Linked DNA regions of Rattus norvegicus. The protein of the gene in region 4 interacts with the protein of the main gene of each other region in a biochemical or structural test. Links are inferred from orthologs where the notes say so. Each region holds a gene or a part of one and is shown on either strand. Other genes may lie near its edges.

The links.
Region 1: the proteins of Casp7 (region 4) and Birc2 form a complex in vitro, tested with the Homo sapiens proteins (2 studies listed by BioGRID, with this or other methods). The link is inferred for Rattus norvegicus from reciprocal best matches to the Homo sapiens genes CASP7 and BIRC2.
Region 2: of the proteins of Casp7 (region 4) and Parp1, one has a biochemical effect on the other in vitro, tested with the Homo sapiens proteins (3 studies listed by BioGRID). The link is inferred for Rattus norvegicus from reciprocal best matches to the Homo sapiens genes CASP7 and PARP1.
Region 3: of the proteins of Casp7 (region 4) and Rb1, one has a biochemical effect on the other in vitro, tested with the Homo sapiens proteins (2 studies listed by BioGRID). The link is inferred for Rattus norvegicus from reciprocal best matches to the Homo sapiens genes CASP7 and RB1.
Region 5: of the proteins of Casp7 (region 4) and Panx1, one has a biochemical effect on the other in vitro, tested with the Homo sapiens proteins (2 studies listed by IntAct). The link is inferred for Rattus norvegicus from reciprocal best matches to the Homo sapiens genes CASP7 and PANX1.

What each region holds. Positions count from the first base shown.
Region 1 is NC_086026.1:13,261,526-13,265,040, forward strand, and holds part of Birc2 (baculoviral IAP repeat-containing protein 2), read right to left. Parts: intron 2,058-3,515; coding exon 1,979-2,057; intron 734-1,978; coding exon 685-733; intron 1-684. UniProt on the Homo sapiens protein: Multi-functional protein which regulates not only caspases and apoptosis, but also modulates inflammatory signaling and immunity, mitogenic kinase signaling, and cell proliferation, as well as cell invasion and metastasis.
Region 2 is NC_086031.1:94,856,475-94,859,989, reverse strand, and holds part of Parp1 (poly [ADP-ribose] polymerase 1), read right to left. Parts: intron 2,489-3,515; coding exon 2,348-2,488; intron 1,811-2,347; coding exon 1,571-1,810; intron 1,363-1,570; coding exon 1,294-1,362; intron 1,087-1,293; coding exon 954-1,086; intron 443-953; coding exon 247-442; intron 1-246. UniProt on the Homo sapiens protein: Poly-ADP-ribosyltransferase that mediates poly-ADP-ribosylation of proteins and plays a key role in DNA repair.
Region 3 is NC_086033.1:54,905,344-54,908,858, forward strand, and holds part of Rb1 (retinoblastoma-associated protein), read right to left. Parts: intron 2,900-3,515; coding exon 2,773-2,899; intron 1-2,772. UniProt on the Homo sapiens protein: Tumor suppressor that is a key regulator of the G1/S transition of the cell cycle. The hypophosphorylated form binds transcription regulators of the E2F family, preventing transcription of E2F-responsive genes.
Region 4 is NC_086019.1:265,470,137-265,473,651, reverse strand, and holds part of Casp7 (caspase-7), read right to left. Parts: intron 1,202-3,515; coding exon 1,065-1,201; intron 621-1,064; coding exon 492-620; intron 1-491. UniProt on the Homo sapiens protein: Thiol protease involved in different programmed cell death processes, such as apoptosis, pyroptosis or granzyme-mediated programmed cell death, by proteolytically cleaving target proteins.
Region 5 is NC_086026.1:20,168,390-20,172,677, forward strand, and holds the start of Panx1 (pannexin-1), read right to left. Parts: upstream 2,812-4,288; 5' UTR 2,378-2,811; coding exon 2,197-2,377; intron 1-2,196. UniProt on the Homo sapiens protein: Ion channel involved in a variety of physiological functions such as blood pressure regulation, apoptotic cell clearance and oogenesis.

The DNA.
Region 1 (3,515 bases), on a different chromosome or scaffold from region 4:
ACGGGCACTTACCACATACTCAGGTTCTCCTTCCTCTCACACATGACCCAGTGTCTTACCCACTGAGCACAGCTTCCATGACCAAGGCCCTATCTACTCTGCAGTGAAGGTTTCTATAACTTTTCTAGATCTTGGTCATCTTTCTCTGTACTGGCTGCAGAGCTGCCAACGCCTCTCTTCAAACGGTGAGCCAGAACCAGCTCTCCCCTTCTGAAATGATCAGCACTTAAAGTGACAGTTATTTAACCATAACACATGTAGATCACACGCACGCACGCACGCACGCACGCACCCGGAACTACTAAGATCTGGTTATATCCAGCTCTCATGCAGACCTTGCATTGCATCCTTATTCTATCTCCAGCCCCACCATCAATCACCTGCAGGCCAGCCTCTTCTAACACATTCTAGGCAAAGTGACTTTCTCTCTGGAGGTAAAGCTTTCATTTGGTACACCTCAAGCTTTTGTTTTCTGCATGTGTCTCATCACTTCATATGTCAGCTCTTTATATAATAATATATATTAAAGTCGTGAATCTCAGCAGAAACAATACATTTTCTAGTTAACGTCCCAAAATTTCCCCTATGACTTTAAAAGTACCACCACCCCTTTCTCTAATATACTTTCATTCTTAACGTTCTTACAAAAATTCACAGTTGTATTTAAACAATTTTCCTACTTACCTGGAGGGTCAGCATTTTCTTCTTCTGAGGTGTCTGAAGTGGACAACAGCTATGAGAGAAGAGAACACTCAGTAGGTAAACCAGAAATGTCACACCGTCTAGACAGCACTCGGGGATCTGCCTTGTAAGACAGGCCCTTAACTCTGCTGCTGAGCTTACCGACCACTCAGGGAAACCTTCCTGCCTCAGCTTTCCAAGTACCGGGATTACTGGAGTGAGCCACCGCAGCCCAGCAAACAGACATTTAAGCAAATGCACACATCCTTTTGGAAACTCCAGGTATGCTAGCATACTCCTGTAATTTCAGCACTTAGGAGTCTGAGACAAGATCAGGAGTTCAAGGCAGGCCTCAGCTACAAGAAACCCTGTCCCAAAACTCTAAAATAAATGCACACATATACTTTACTTTGTTTTGTACCACTGTGCTTACACTGTTATCTGCATCCAAGTGACAACCACAGTGTGGCTGCTATGTTAGAGAGCAGGAGAGCAGCAATGCCGCCTCCCTCCATCGGGAAAGTGACAGTTCGTTTGAGTAACTCTTCAAAGGTCTTAACTCCTAACAAGATTTTGATTTTGGATTTTTTTTTTTTTTATGGAAGAGACTAAAGAGACATTGAAGTTACCTCTTTAACCCCAGTTTAAAAAAAAAAACAAAAAACAAAAAACCTCTGTACAGTGGCAGGATATAAGTTTTTTTAAAGGAAAAGGAAAAGACAACATTTATAAAGAAAGACCCCTGAACAGCAAGCTAACAACAAAACTGTCAAGGATGCCATTACTGTGGCCCATGCCAAGGGACTTGAACTCCAGCTCTTTTTCCTTAAGTACAGTGCCTAAAATGCTATAAAAAAATTGTAAACTCAATTTTGCCTCAAAATTATATAAATAAAATAAAAATAAACATCACTTCAAAGATTTCTGTAATTATTACTTCATAGTATAATTCAATGCTATACTTTATTTGTATGTGTAGAGAGTATATGAACCTGTTCATATGGGTATATGCATCTATGTGTGCAAACATGGGTAGACAAAGGTAGACACGAGTGTCTTTTTTAAGACAAGATCTGTCTCATTCAACCTGGAACTCACTGAGTTATCTGGCCAGATTACCTGCCAGTGACCTCCAAGGGCTCACCGGTTTCCAACACCCTTGGGTTACTGATATATGCTGGTACACCCAGCTTCGTATGTGCTGCTGGGATCTGAATTCAGGGCCTCATACAGCAGTAAGAACTTTCCTAAATGAGCCACCTTCCCAGCTCTCATGTAAATTTTAAAATCAGTTTACCTGCTCAAGAAGATGAGGATATCTAGCTTGAATCTCATCAACAAACTCCTGACCCTTCATCCGTATCAAGAACTCACACCTAAAATGTGAAACAAAAACTATTTTAAAAGTATTTCATATCAAAAATAAACGATTATTCTAGATGACTGGCTTTCTCTTCATTATACCCACCAAAAAAGCGTTTATATCACAACCCAGCAGACATGTTTCTACCAGAAACCAAACTCTCACACACACACTCCTAGCTGTTGGTGCATTCCACTGTTTTGCTGTCTCATCCCACTTATACAAAACAAAAGGGAGGGGACATTGTGCACTTAGAAAGGAGCAAAAGTTGTCATGTGAAACACAGTGTTATAAACATTGTCTTTTTCATGCTTAACAAGATTTCAAAACCTATTAGTCATTATCCATTAACATTTTCATTGTTCATAACATAGTAAAACCCAATCCTGCTCCAGAGTTCAATACCCCACACTCCATCCAGGAAACCAATAGTCAAGTTATTTCCCCACCTATGTGGCCATGTTTCTCACAGATTTCACCTACCAAGACTTCTTGGAGGAAGTTCATGTAACATCTACCTCCATTCTACTCACTTTAGAAAAAATGCTGAACAACTGGATGTCTACATGCAAATTTTCTTTTTAAAGCACAAACCCATGACTTATGCTACATGCAAAAATAAACTAAGGATGAACTTTATCCTGAAATGTAAGAAAAGACCTTTTGTCCTTCCTTACGTCAGAATGTTCATCTAGACAGGAAGGCTGGAGAGAGAGCTCAATGCTCAAGTTGCTCTTAACAGAGCACCAGAGATCAGTTCCTAGCTCAGGAAGCTCACAACCTCTGGACCTCTAGCTCCAGGGGACTCAGTGTTTCTGGCCTTCTTGGGCCTACACTCGTGTGCACATTCCCACATGCAGTCACACACTGTGACAGATAGTTTTGTCAACTTGACATAAGCTAAAATCATCTGAGAGGAAGGAACGTCAATTGAAAAATGCCTCCCTAAAATCCAGTTGTACAGCATTTTTTATAATTAGTGACTTAATATAATGTCCCCAGTCCACTGTGAGTGGGAACAGCCTTGGGCTGGTGGTCCTAAATGCTATAAGAAAGCAGGCTAAGCAAGCCATGGGAGCAAACCAGCTCAGCAGCACTCCTATGGCCTCTGCATCAGCTCCTGCGTCCATGTTCCAGCCTGCTTGAGTGCCTGCCCTGACTTTTATGGTGAACTGTGAAAATAAAATAAATAAATCCTTTATTTGCTTTGACCTAAGTTGCTTTGGCCATGTGTTTCATCATAGCAATAGTAGACCTAACTCAGACATGTATGTCAGTAAATACAGTAAAAATAAATCTAAAGCAAAGGAGCCTGGAGCTCAGATACAGAACCTCTGCTTAGCATTCTGAAGCACGGGGGTTAATATTCAAAAACAGAACTTTTATACAAGGACCAAAACCATAATCCATAAAAGATAAAACTGATAAAATGTCATCATCAAAATTAAAGGCATTTGCTCTTCAAAAGATT
Region 2 (3,515 bases), on a different chromosome or scaffold from region 4:
ACTTGTTTGTATTGTACTTGAGCTTGGTGTACAAACCTCATACACGGCCTGACTTACTAGTTAGGATTTTACGTTACAGAGATGGTGTTCAGCATATTCTTCTGATGTTCTTTGGTAACACTGGCCTCATGGAATGAGTTGGTTAAGTTTTCCTCCACTTTGGGGGGAAGAATTCGTCACCTGGTATTGTTAACTCTTCTTTAAACATATCTGTGGAGTTAAAGGAACAGACCTTACTGTGATTACCTGGCCATAGTCAATCTCCAGAGGGTAGAACTTCTTGGGATACTTTGTGAAGTTTTTCGAGTGCCAGGCATTTCCAGTCTTCTCTTCGTATAACTTCATGAAGTGTTCAACAGCATCCTCTTTGGACGGCATCTGCTCAAGCTTGTTACTGCCGATAACTGTGCCCACTCGGCCCCAGGACCGGAAGATCCAATACCTGTAAAGGGACAGAGACCAGGGTGAGCTTCTGTTCTGTTAGGCCCTCCTCCATAAGGGGCAGCATTAAAAGCACACTCTCTCCTTCATGTGTTGATTGAGTGGTGCTGCAGGTGGAACCCAGGGCCTCGAACACACTAGGCAAGCATCTATAACTGAGAGAGGATGTTTAAACTATAACCTTCATTCTAGTGATCAGCAAGTGTGGAATAGCATAAAACGATAAATTTGAAGTCAGGTGTGGTAGCGCACGCCTTTAATCACAGCATTTGGGAAGTAACAGGAAGGTGGGCCTCCGAGTTCGAGGCTAACAGAATAGCCCAGTGGATCAGTGGAGCTACACCCGTGATGGTTAAGCAAGGCAGCATAAGTGATACTCAGGAGTGGCTATTTTTTATGGAGGAACTTCAAACGCTATAGGCTTTTGTGACCGTTTCTCTTGCTCCAGGCCCTGCAGCGGCCTGACTTCCACAGGTGGGCAGCACACACTCAGTGTGGAGGCCCAGGCTCACCTGCTCTCCTTGTCGGACTCCAGAAGTTGCAGTTTGTAATAGGAGTTAGTCCCTTTCACAATGTCCACCAGGCCAAGCGTGGCACTGAACACCTTCCCGCCTTTCTCCAGGACATGTGCAGAGTGTTCCAGACCTGCCCCAGAGACAAAGCTCCTATGGTTTTCTCCCTTGAAGGGAGAGGGTGAACAGAGGCCTCATGTCCCCAGCTAGTTTCATGTCACAACACCTTTAGAGGTACCCACTGACCCTCATGCGTCCAGGACTGGCCTGCTCCCCTCTAGCTACCCTGACTAGAGACATCTCCTAATCTCCCAGGGCATGGGAGGCTCTGATCACTCACCAGAGTCAGGATCAACGGCTGCTCCTCCCTTCAGAGTTAGTTTCATCCTCTTTTCAGACTTGTTGACACCTTGGGAAGGAAGGGACAGAGGAACACAAAGACTCCACTTAGGCAAAGGCAGAACAGTTTCCAGAGGCATCTGTCATGGCACCTGCACACCACCTGTTGCCCCACAGGGCCTGCTGCTTTGTGTCCGCTCACTGAACTAAGGATACTGCTCGCCACAGCACCTTAGGGACACAGAACCAAGGTCACAGGTAGGGCAGGTGGGTCTCACCTTCCTCCTTGACAGCACCCTTGCTCTTCTTGGAGGGTGCAGCTGACTTCCCCTTGGGGACCACCACTTCACCAGGCTCTACCTTCACCTCAGCCCCCCACGAGGACAAGCTATGGGCTGAGAGCAGCTCTTGGAGGCTCTTAGCTGAGGCAGACACATCCTGGAGGAAGTCCTCACACACGACTCGAACATTGGCTGCTTTCACTTCCTCCATCTTCTTACTCATCTTCTCCACCTCCTCTGTTTACAACCAGACAGGGAGAAATGAAAACCTCAACCGATAAGCTGAACGGCTACCTTCCTACAGTCTGAGAAGGCCAACGACCCCATGACCAACAACTTCTCTCCCAAGCTGTACGCTGAACCTCATCTCAGCAGTCACGCTCCAGTGGTACTGGCTGTCCCTCTGGTCCACAAAGCCAAGGGTGGCCACCTTCTCTAAATCCTGAGTGTGGTGTCAGGAGGCACTCAGCAGAAATGGACTCTTAGGCCCAGACCATAACACTTAGCAGAACAGTCTTAATATAAATGTGGGTCTGGCATCCATCACCAGACCACAAAGTGGTAACCTCCGCCTGCCTACAAAGGAACCCAGGGTCATCCATGAACACTGAGCAGTGTAAGCTTATGGTCTGACTGGGACCAGGAGCCTGTGTGAACACACGGAATACAGTACAAATACCAGTTTTACCTACAAGCTACAGTGAGAAGTGTCTGACCCTAGCTGTGCCACAGAACCCTCACCACCTCTGAGAGGCACGCGCCCGTCAAACTTACTCTTAGTGCTGATACACAAGGAGGCCTTGTTGGCAGATCCTGTCAGCTTGCCTCCGAGTTTCTCAATCATGGCCTTTGCTTCGTCCTTGTTCTGGGAGAGCTTACCAAGAGTCAGGATCTTCATGTTAGACAGGGGTTTGTCTGGGGTAAGAGATCAGAAGCGTCAGGCTAAGACCATTCTACTGCGCTCTCAGGAAAGGATGAACAAAGGCAAGACAAAACAGCTGGCTCTTCAGGAGAGGTCAGAGTCTGGCCAGCCCTGGCCTTTACTCTTCTCTTAGGGAAAATCTTCTGAAGAAGACAGAAGCAGTAGGGAAACAGAAGGCAGAACAGCAAACCCAAGACCCCAACCCATGAGTGTGCAACAGAGAAAATGGGGTAGGGCATAGGCTACACAGAGAACAAATGGGTGATCCATGCTGGCTACCCTGGGCCTGCTCAGGGGCAGACTAGAAAGGCTGAATCTAGAGATGAGGCCAGAATGCTCAGAAGAAGGTGGGTGGTGAGAGCTCTGCGTCCTTCCATACTCTTCCTCCCAACTCCCGAGTAAGAAAGCACAAGCTGACCAAGCTGAAAGGTCTGATCAGTATGGCCACACTGAGTTAAGCACCAAGTACCCAGCACTGACTGCCAGGTTGGCATGGATGGATGGGCCTCTGTGAGTGAAACACAGCACTAGTTATAGTCAGGCCATGGCCTCTGCTTCAGATCTCACAACTGGGAGATCTAACTGCTCTTTCTAGGGGGTGGACAGTGAGGACACCACCTGCGTTCACTGAAGTCTCTGTAGAGAACAAAATCACTGATTTAGGTGTGAACTGCAAGCAAGGAGACAGCAGAGAAAGGGTCTGTCAAGGAGGAGCAGAAAGCAGGCTCTAACTGACCACATGTGTTTGCAGACCCCAGGATTCAAGCAGCGGAGAGGACTTGGGATAATGAGTTCACCATTAAGGGCAGACTAGGTGCAGCTGGGCTAGTGCCCAGAAGCAGAACCTTGTCCTCTGCCCACACCAGCATGGCCTCTACAGCCTTTAGGAGTGTCCACATGCCTGAAGGAGCAAGTAGCACTCTCCTTCCCAACAAGGCACAGTGATTCACTCTTATGTGGCCTCGGTCATGTCTATTCATGACCAGGGTCTCCCCAGGCTCTTGATGGTCGGTAGTGCAG
Region 3 (3,515 bases), on a different chromosome or scaffold from region 4:
TCCTAGCTAGAGCAGCAAAACTAGAGAAATGAAAGGGATACAAATGGAAGGGAAAGAAAGTATCTCTATTTGTCAGAGGCATGATCCTGTATTTTAAGGACTCCAGTAGAAAACTCTTAGATGTGATAAATACTTTCAACACAGCAGAATATAATGTCAACAGACAAAAATAAGTACCTTTCTACATACCAATAACTAACCTGCCAAGAAAAAAAAATCAGTAGGAAAAGATCCCATTGCTAACAGCTTCAAGAACATGGTGGCACATACCATAAATCCCAGCACTTAGAAGGCAGAGGCAGGATCTCTGTGATTCAAGGCTGCTTGGTCTACACAATGAGTTCTAGACCATTTAGAATTACAAAGCAAGATCTTGTTTTAAACAAACAAGACAAAAATATTAGCTTCAAAAAAGAAAATACCTGGGAATCAACATAACCAAAGTAGTAAAAGACCATTACAATGAAAACTTTAAAACCTTTAAGGAAGATTAAGAGGATAGTAGAAAATTAAAAAAACAAACAATAAACAAAAAAGTCTTATGTTCTTGGATTAGCAGAATTAATACTGTAAAAATAGTTACATTACCGAAAATATCTATGGAATTAATACAATGTCAGCCCTATTTCTTGTGACATTCTTGACAGAGCTAGGATGATGTCAGCTTGTAATATTAGCTTGAATTGCCAACTTGACACAGTGTAGCTAGCATCCCTGGGAAGGGAGTCTGCAGAAGTTATAGAGATCAGGTTGGTCTTGGACATAGCTGTGGCAAACTGTCTTGACTGCCTTAATTGTTGGGGAGACCCAGCATGAGAGTAGGCAGCACCATTCTAGGGGTTTTGCCTCTGAACTACAGAAGTAGGAATGGAGAAAGTTCTATGAGTACCGGGCATGCATGCATGCATGTATCCCTCTCTGCTCTTTACTGCAGATGTGATGTGACTAGTTGTTTTACGCTTCTGCCTCTTTGACTTCCCTATCATTACAGAGTATAATCTGGAATTCTGACTTAAAATAAAGCTCTCTCTCCTAAGTAGTTTTTGTCAGGATATGTTATCACAATAGAAATGAAACTAGAGTATGAGATGACAAAACATCGGGTTGGGGATTTAGCTCAGTGGTAGAGCGCTTGCCTAGCAAGCGCAAGGCCCTGGGTTCGGTCCCCAGCTCCGGAAAAAAAAAAAAAAAGAGATGACAAAACATCCTGAATAACGAAAGCAATCCTAAGCAGGTGATCAGAATAGTCGATTTCAAAGTATACTGTAAAACCATAGTAACAAAACTTTTATGATACTGGCATAAAAAATACACAGACGAACAAAGAGATTTCAGAATTAAACCTATACATTGATAGCCACCAAGTTGTTGACACTCAGAGAACAAAGTCTCTTCAAATAATGCTGAGGTAACTCAGCATCTACCTGCAAGAGATGTATAACTCAATCCATATCTTTTGCCCAATACCAGGCCAGTGTGACTTTAATGGGTAAAGGAACTTGTTAAGCCCAATAACCTAGGTTCAATTCTAGAACCCATATGGCAGAAGAACTGACTCCTGAAAGAGTTCCTCTGACCATAACACATGCACTGTGCATGAGAACATGTATGCACACACATTAGATAGATAGATAGATAGATAGATAGATAGATAGATAGATAGATTAGACAGACAGACAGACAGACAGACAGACAGACAGACAGACAGACAGACAGACATTAAAAATAATACAGGGCTGAGTGTAGTGGTACACACCTTTAATACCAAGCACCTTGGGAGGCAGAGGCATGCAGTTCTGTAAGTTAGAAGCCAGTCTGGTCTCCATAGTGAGTTTCAAGACAGACCAGGAAAAATATTTACTAACACATCAGATGGTATTAATATCTAAAACTGATGAAGAACCTCAAATTTTAAATATTATTAAAGAAAATCATTCACTCAAAAATTAGGCCAATGAACCAACTAAACACACAGTTCTCAGAAAAAAATATACATCTGAGCATTAAAAATTTGAAATGGAGAAATGCAATGTAAAACTGCTTTGAGATTCCATTTTGCCCAAGCAAGGCTAACATCAAAACAACAAATGTTAGCTAGTAAAGATGTGGGGAAAGAAGAGCCTAACATACTGCTGGTAGTAAGGTAGAGTAGTGCAACCACTATGCAAGTCAGTGTGAGGTTACATAAAACTACTACTCCGACACCAAAGAGGTACTACTCATGCATCCATGTTTCCTGTCATACTACTCACAGTAGCTACGAAATAGAACAAGTGTAGATGCCCCATGCACAGATAAAAAAAATCCAGTACACACACACGCACACGCACACGCACACACACACACACAAAGAATTTATTCAACCACAAAGAAAAATGAAATCATGTTATCTGTACAAAAATGAATGTAACTGGAGGTCATAGGTTGTATTAATCAAAATAAGCCAGACTAAAAAAAGACAAGTATCTCTCACCTATTGAAGATGCTAAATTTAAGTGTGTGTGTGTGTGTGTGTGTGTGTGTGTGTGTGTGTGTGTGTATGGTTATGAAAGTTGGAAGGCGGAGATGAGAGGAGAGGAAAAGACCTTCAAAGTGTAGGGGAAAGAATAATAGCACAGATGTGACACAAATGCAGGAGCAGCCATCTGGACGTGAAAGGGAACCAGCAAATGGAAGATAGAAGGATGGGAAAGAAGAGTGGGGGAGGAGATGAACAGAGAAAAAAATATCATCGGTACAGAACTGACTTTAAAACTTTAAAGACATCCTTACCAGGATTCCATCCACAGATGAAACTTTCTCCCACGTTAGCCAAGCTCTCTCTCTGACATGATCGGGCACCTTTAACTTCTGACATAATGCAATAAATTCAGGTTCTTCAATTTTTTCAAACTCAAGCCTACAAATTAAAAAGTTACAAAATTGATACATTTACAGTCAAACTTGTTTCTATAGTTTGCCTATATCAGCACAGTTTTGAAAGAGAACATCTCTAAGTGCTTTACAGTCTAACTTTATCTTTGAGAACCATTACACATCATTTAAACATATGCTTATCTTTTTTGTGGGCTTTCCAAAATGAGACAAAGTAAAGAACAGCTGCTAGCATGGGGAACCACATACATCCAGAGCAGCAGCGAGACAGCGTTGAGACAAAGCAAGGGCACTAGCTAAAGCATGCTGGGAAGACAGAACAACTGTCACAGCAAAAAAAAAAAAAAAAAAAAAAAAAGGAAAAAACCACACACACAATCCATACATTCTCTCCACCTTCTCCTATTTCTTAGATGATGATTAACTTTATACAAATGATTGCACCACATAGTTCTGTCCTATCTCTCTGACCTTTTTAACCATAAGCCCTTAATAGCTAATTCCTTTCACTTTGACATATAATAACAACACTATGAAGAGCAACTTAACTCTTGAAAATTTACTATTATCCTACACAAAATATCTTATGCATGGTTTTACTGAATCCCCACATCAGCCCTACTTGGTAAGTACTCCCACAT
Region 4 (3,515 bases):
GAGGTCTTCCTGTTTAGATCTGTGGTTAAGGAAAGCTGAGCCCCTGCTGTCTGCAGGTCGGTGTCTGGTGAGCGGTGGGATTCTACTTTTGCCTCAGGTGGGACAGTACCCCAGTGGCATCCTTTAAGGCACATCCAACTGTGGGCAGCCTGCACCATAGCACAGCTATGACTCAGGCTCACTACAAAGTGGGAAACTTACCTAAGTCTTCTCGGATTGACTTTGCAACTCTGCACAGTGCACGAGCATGAAGACATCAGTTAATGTCAAGGTTGGATAGGCCTGGTATACAGTAAACACACGTCTCCGGGAGGTGGGCATAGCTCCTGGAGTCTGGTCTGGTCCCTAATTTACTCTCCAGTCTCTCTCTCGCCCTGTCCAAAGTCCATCCACACGATTACAATGGGGTCTGCCTACGGCCGACATTCTGGAGCCCAGACCCTGTTCCTCTAGGTGCCGGGGTAGGCCGGGCCAGGACGGCTCGCACTCACCTCGTCTAAGCAGATCCTGCATCTTTGCGCAAGAGCAGTCATTATAGACGGTCACTTCAAAACCCAGGCTTCGGAAGCACTTGAAGAGGGCCTCTGCGTCTTTGTCCGTCCCATTCCGGACATCCATACCTGTGGGGGTGAGGCAAGGAGTGGGGTGAGCAATGCTGAGAACAGACTCTAGGCAGACCAGGTGCTGTGTGGGCTCCAGGAACAAAAACCCCTGAAGCAGAAGCACCTTTCAGGGTTACAGCTTAACCGCACACGGGAGAGACAGACTAGAGGCGAACTCCCAAGGACCCAGCCTCCACACAAGTGAGCGTCCTCGTGGTCTCGGGATGGCCAGTACTGGCTGCCAATGTCACATGATCTAGAACCACCCAAGAAAAAAGGCCATTTTATCCCAGCAACAGGACAGTAACTCAGACAGGCTCCTACATACACGGCAGGGTCTCAGACTGAGAATTCTCTGCACCTCTCTCTCCTGGACATGGAGAGCCTGGCACAGCTCTCTCTGAGGAATGTCTGTGGAGAAAGTGGGAGAGTCAGGAGAGGCTAGCCCTGCCCCGCACCCACCTGTCGCTTTGTCGAAGTTCTTGTTATTTATGATGATACATTTGCCCATCTTCTCGAAGTCCATACGGTACAGGTAAGTGGGCACGCGGTCCCGGGTGGTACTGACGGGGCACATAGAGGCATTTTTCTTCTTCTTCCTTGGGTTACAGAAAGTCAGTTAGAGGCTGTGGAAGCAGTCTGGGCAGCTGTGTACTCAGGGAAGCCACGGTATTTGTGAAACGAAGAGCCAAGGTGGGCAGACAGATGCTTCTGTTTAACTGTCATGTTTAAATGGAATAAGACTGCAGGGTAAATTTCAACAGACGTCAGAAAATGCAAATCCCAGTCACGATGTGCTGGCGCAGTTCGCTTCCCAGAGTGGCCACACTGAGAGAAATGGACGGCTCAGTGTCTGCCGTGAACTTGTCGGGCTGGTGGGGATCTATTGGGGTGTCCACTGTGTAAGGCTGGCAGAACACGCTAAGCTTACACAAACATGCTAAGTTTACACAAACACAAGCCGCACGGCAGAACAACTGCCTCGGGTCAGGCAAAGGTTTAGTAGAAGACAGGGCTACACTGTTCATCACATCCCGGATAGGGAATACACCCTCCCCGCCAGTCCTATCTACAGTAAGTGGCTGAACCAAGGAATATTCACGTAACAGGTAAAACAGAGACTGGATGAACCAAGACAGCATGAAGCACATGCATGAACATTACAAACAGAACCCAGCAAAGAGCTGATATACAAACGACTACACGCAGACTTAGGTGCCTCACGCTAAAAGTCTGGAGAAACCAGAGCAATGCCAACCCTATTCCTTTTTCCTTTATTTAAAACAAACAAACAAAAAAAGATGCGGTGTGTTTGAAGACAGCTACAGTGTCCTCACTCACATGAAATAAATAAATCTTTAAAAAATGCGTGATATGTGTATGTATGTGGTGCATACATGTGTGCATGCATGCGTTTGAGCATGCTCACCCGTGTGTACCCATGGATACCATCGACATTAGGTAAGTCCTCTGTGTTGCTTTTCACCCTTAAACCTTAAAGGCAGGTTCTCTCTATGAACACGGAGCCTGCTGTTTCAGCTGGACTGGCCCACAGTGAGCCACCCTGTATTCACCCGTCTCAACCGCCCACAGTGCCTGGGTTGAAGGCGCTTGCTGCCGTGTCTAACTTTTATGTGGGTGCTGGGACCTTGCTGCCGTGTCTAACTTTTATGTGGGTGCTGGGACCAGAGCTCAGATCCTTAGGCTGGCAAGCAAGCGCTTTACCCACCGAGCCACCTCTCCCACCCCGACACGTTTTGTATGGATTGGTGATGGTTACAGACATACGTCGGCAAAAATTCCCAGGTGCACATACCTTCTCTATGGATGGACATTTTAATGGCACTTAAATGGGGGCGGGGAGCACTGATTTTTAAAAGAACATTAACTTTTCCCCATTCCCCCAAACACCTACGGTACTGTTGAGCAAAGGCACACAGGGGCTTCACGGGATCAGGGCGCATTCCCAAGGCCAAGGGCACGTTCAGATCTGGCTGGGATGAGCCTCTCGGGGAGCCAGTCTCCTGGTGCGTGCTTCCTCCACATAGCACCTTGTTTGAACAAACACTGCCTTTGATACTGAAATCTAGGGTGGGCAGGGCTCTCTCACCTCTCCACTTGAATTGGGGAAGCTGGTGCACAATCCTTAAACAGGTCCCTGACCCTCTAACCCTCCACAAAGGCGGCTCTGGGCTGGCATTAGCTGGCATTCTCTGTGAGGCCTTGGAAAGAGCCAGGATGTGTAGAAAATGAGAGAAAACCTAAGGCGGGCAGGAAACTCAGCACTTCAGCTTCATTTTAGGGCACAACCCCTGAAGGCCATCGGTGGGCTGTGAGGTGGCAGGATGCCCCCAGGCTGGAGAACACTTTACTCAGGACACCCTTACGAGGCACAATTCAACTTCCACCTTCCCTGGTGAGAATTCCACGGTGAGGGGCTAGCCAGGTGGCTCAGTGGCGTGACCTGAGTTTCATCCCTGGACTCCAAGTGATGGAAGGTAAAAATCCAACTCTAGCAAGACATCCTCTGATCTCTACACGCATGTCACGGGCATGTGTATGCATGTACTCACACTCGCCCCTCCGCCAACAACTCCCCAACACCCCCCAATATGTTAAACGCATTTAAAACCCCTGCAATTTCTAGGATGACAGCCACGCCTCAGACAGGCTGTAGCTCTTATGTCATTAAGATCCCCAGGAATGTGCAAAACAAAACAAAACCAGCAAGAGTCTTTTGTAAGAAAAAAAAAGGGCTGGAGAAAATGTCTCATGGGAAATCAAAGGCCCCTGCTTCCATAAGAACAGAACCTGGAACATTACCTCGCCACTTAATAAAATAGTTAATTAATTCATTCGGTTAAAAAAAAAAAAGGAACGAGAGCTGGGGAGTAGAGGCACACAAACTTAACC
Region 5 (4,288 bases), on a different chromosome or scaffold from region 4:
CTCACACCACACTGAGGGAAGTCAAGGCAGAAAATCAGGGCAGGAACCTGGAGGCAGGAACTGAAGCAGAGGCCATGGAGGGGTGCTGCTTACTGGCTTGCTGCTCATGGCTTTCTCCGTCTGCCTTCTTAACACCCCAGGACCACCAGCCAGAGGTGGCACTGTCCAGTGACCTGGGCCCTCCCACACCAATTATCAATGTGGTCGGGGTACTTTGTCGTTTGAGGTTACCTCTTCCTAATGATAGTGTCAAGTTTTCATAAAGCTGACCAGCACTCTGGGGCTATTACAACCCCCCCTTGTTTTATTTTACCCTCAATGTCACACAATTAAACTTCACAAGATCAACTATTGACCATGAACACTGACCTGACCTCCTAGGACTTCTGCTGCCTTCATCCACACACCTATCTTCCCCTTGAAACTCTGGAGCCCTTCAGAAGACAAGGGCATCTGCCTAAGAGTTTACTTAAGAGACAGCCAGGCCGGTGCCCAGAGTTCCCGCAGCTGCCTTATCCTGGAATCACAGAGGCAGCAGGGTGTCACCAGGTAGCAGACAGTACCTATCTGGATGGTAAAGTCTCACAGGTAGAGAGGACCATGCCTCAGAATCCTTCCTATCCCCCCACAGTGCACAGCAAGGCTCGCACACAGCAGAAGCAGAGCCTTGCCGGCTAAACCCACTTTCCATGCCTCCCTGCAAGATGCCTCTCACACAGCACATCCATCTGGACCTGCCCATCAGGTGCCTCAGAGCCCATCTAGTTGGGGACTTTACAGACAGTGATCAGCTGCTCCTTGCTGGCCCTCTGCCCGCCCAAGTGCCCACAGCTTGCTTCTCCAGCACAGGGACATTTATTCCTGGTTCAGCCCACAGAGAGAAGGCAGAAACTATCATCAGGATCCAAACGACTTTGCGGTTTTCCTTTCAGTAGGACGATCCCTGCCCAAGAACCAGGAAAACAGAGAACTCACTTTGCACCATTACTTCAGCAACTTCCACCTCACTGACCAACTCGGCCATACACGGCGCAGACTGTGCACGCCATGCCCTTTTCTAACCAAGTTTACCTCAATGCCCACCAGCCTGCTCATGTGGGAGTACTCTCTTCCCTCCACAGCCTGTTAACATCTCAGCGCCTGTTGCCCCTCATCTCTCAGAAGGATCCGTCATCTTCCTCCCTCTGCTCATCCCTCATGCATGTACAAGATCTGTCAAATGAATGCCCCAGTAGAGGCCCACCTCTCCCCTCCTACATCCAGAAGCTATGCATCCTCACCATTACTCATTGAATACTGTTGTCAGCCTGTCTGTCAGTCAATAACCTCCCAATCTCAGGCGAGTGTGCATGTGCCTTTCTCTGGTAATCTGACCCAGGCGCATACACCCTCAGCTTTCCAGAGAAAGCCCTCTACTTCTGGCCGACACAGTGCTTTGGGCCTCCTTTCCAGGAACATGTGTCATCTCAAGGTCTTGGAGACAGTCTCACCTGCGGTCACCCACACCTGACACAGGTGTTCTGCCCCAGCTGCAAATGCCGTTGACCCTCCTATACTACTTAGCTGCAATTCACACTCTCACTCAGGTTATGAAAGTTAGGATAAATAAGACCACTCACTCTGCCTAATGATCTTGACCAATGGAACTGCACATAACTATTAGGACGAAATGAGAGCTTATAGGAAGGGGACTGGGTCATTTCTTCATCTTTCATTCATTGTTGGGGACCACTCCTGCCTCCAGGGGCAGTTAGTCTCCAGCACACATAACCCTAAGACAGAACTCAAGTATCATTTAAAGGCAAGACAGTGAAACAGCACAGGTACGAGGAACGCTTGTCTTTACATTCTCCCTGGAACCACTCAGGAAATTACAGGTGACTGTACAATCACTGGAGAGAGGAGTAGGAAGAGCCGTTTCTTGACACATCTCGCGGCAACAGGCTGAACATAAACTCCAAGCCGCAATAATGGAGACAAAGGGACTGGAAGGGGATGCTAGGAGAGTCAACAGAGGTACCCAGGTTGCACATGGGCAAAAAAGGCTTCAGACTCAAATTCCGGTACGACCAGGGTGGCTACATTAGAAGGGTCATGTGGAAATGCCAGCTGTGTGCGATGAGATCTCTCAGCACCCCTCGTCAACCTCAGACAATGCCAGCCTAGCCTAGACTGCCCCTGCGCCCCCGGCCTCACCGATGGAGATCTCCTGAGCGAAGGCCAGCGAGATGAGCAGCAGAGGCAGACCCACGGCAATGCACGTGACCATCTTGTCCACTGCCAGCTCCAGTCGCAGCCCCTTGAACTTGGGCTCGGTGGGCTCCTTCAGCAAGAAGTCCGAGAACACGTACTCCGTGGCCAGGTGGGCGATGGCCATGGTCACGGCGCGCCGGGTGCCGCGGGACGGGCAGTCGAAGGCAGGCGCGGGTGCTGCGGGAAGCCGGGGAGAGGCGCCGAGTCCGCGCCGTCAACGACCCGGAGCGCGGCTTCCGGGCCGGCCCAGCATTGCACCGCCTTGGCAGTCGCTGCGCCTACCTCGCAGGGACCGCACGAGAGCTGCAGCCGCCTGGGATCGCTCCAAGCAACACAGGGCGCACGAGCCCCGAAGTCTTGGCGGCAGCGATCACACCCCGTGCTCAGCTCCCGCGGGTCCCCAGCGCGCGCGACACCAGGACTCCGGCCGCCTTGAGCGCGCAGGGACAACAACGTGCCGGGAACAAAGCTAGCTCTCCGCTACAGCTGCTCGCGCCTGCACTGCGCGCTCGGCTACGGGAACCGAGCTCTTCCGGAACCTACGCGGGGGAAACCGGGTTCCCAGGGGCGAGCAGTTTCCGGAAGCGCGCTGACGCCGGCGGAGTGGGCGCGGCCGCACCGCGACCCTAGAACCCGAACTAGCTAAGGATAGCCCCACCCTGTCTCCTGCGGACCGCCCCTCCCTGTGCTCTTCGCTCAAAGGATTTCAAAAAAAAAAAAAAAAAAAAAAAAAGACTTCAAGAAACAGCAGATGCCAGATAAAGATCGAGATAATCTTGCGGCGATGACCTAATGTTGTAGAGGGGGGCTGCACCTTTCCAGAGTTCCGTAAGGCAGACTCATGCCCTGCCCTTTACATTTTCCTCCACCTTCCCGCCCCAAGCAGTAGTCAGGGGGTCCTTGAGGCATACCAACTGGTGTGTTTAATGTGTTGAACTACAGTGAGCTCCTTCTGAATACCTCACTTACAGCAGACAATGAGGCATTCAAGAAATGTCCCAGCCATTTGCTGCAAATGGCCTTGGAAGGTGAAGTGCCCAGCATAGATGCCTTTGCTGGGCTGTGTGCATCAGCGGGGTCTAAGGAGGTAACCCCAAGGCCCACATACCTGTCTACTGGACTAATCCTCTAAAGACCATCAGAGACCTTCACAGCCTGGCTCTGGCAAAGCTCACACTCAAATCCTTGTCTCAAACCTCAACTACTGTCTTCTACATCTCCTTAACCATAGCTGTTGGCTCTGGTGCCCAAGGTAGAATCCATTTTTAGAGTTTCCATCACACTTGACAGCTGTGTCAACTAATTCTGAACTGATGTGCTTCTTTTTTCTAAATATAGTAGACTTGACAGCTCGTCACCTGCACAGCCAGCAACCAGCACCCAGTTTCCCCTTCCATCACTTAACTGCTTACAGAAGGCATCCTCCAGATCATCCAAACCGTTCTCCAAGTGGCTATGAAGTGTGGGGAGATAAAAAGTGGTATGCACATCTTTAGTTAATTTTATTCAAATGGTCCATAAATGAATCTCTTCCACCTTGAGTGGATTTTAAGTAGCCCAGTTCCCACTCCTGTCTGTTCTTCTCGAGGCATGTGGCATGGATTGGGATTGGGATGAGCAGGGCAATGTGGCCTGGAGGATGAGTCTGTTTAGGGCGGGCAGAACTGTGCTGAGTGTTTTCTAGGAACCAGTAAATCACAAACACACTTTCCCTTCTCTTTCTGCCAAGATCAACTCAACCAAGAGGAGAAATGGCCCCTGTGGGAAGCTTCTCATGACTCCTCCCCCAGTTGGGATGAGTCAGGCACTCTCTTGGTGCTCCTATACTGGCTAGTTTTATCAACTTGTGTTTGACACAAGCTGGGATTATCACAGAGAAAGGAACCTCCCTTGATAAACTGTTTTCCATGAGATCCAGCTGTAAGGCATTTTCTCAGTTAGTGATCAAGGGTGGGACTAGCCAGTATAGGGGCACCAAGAGAGTGCCTGACTCATCCCAACTAGGGGAGGAGTCATGAGAAGCTTCCCAAAGTGG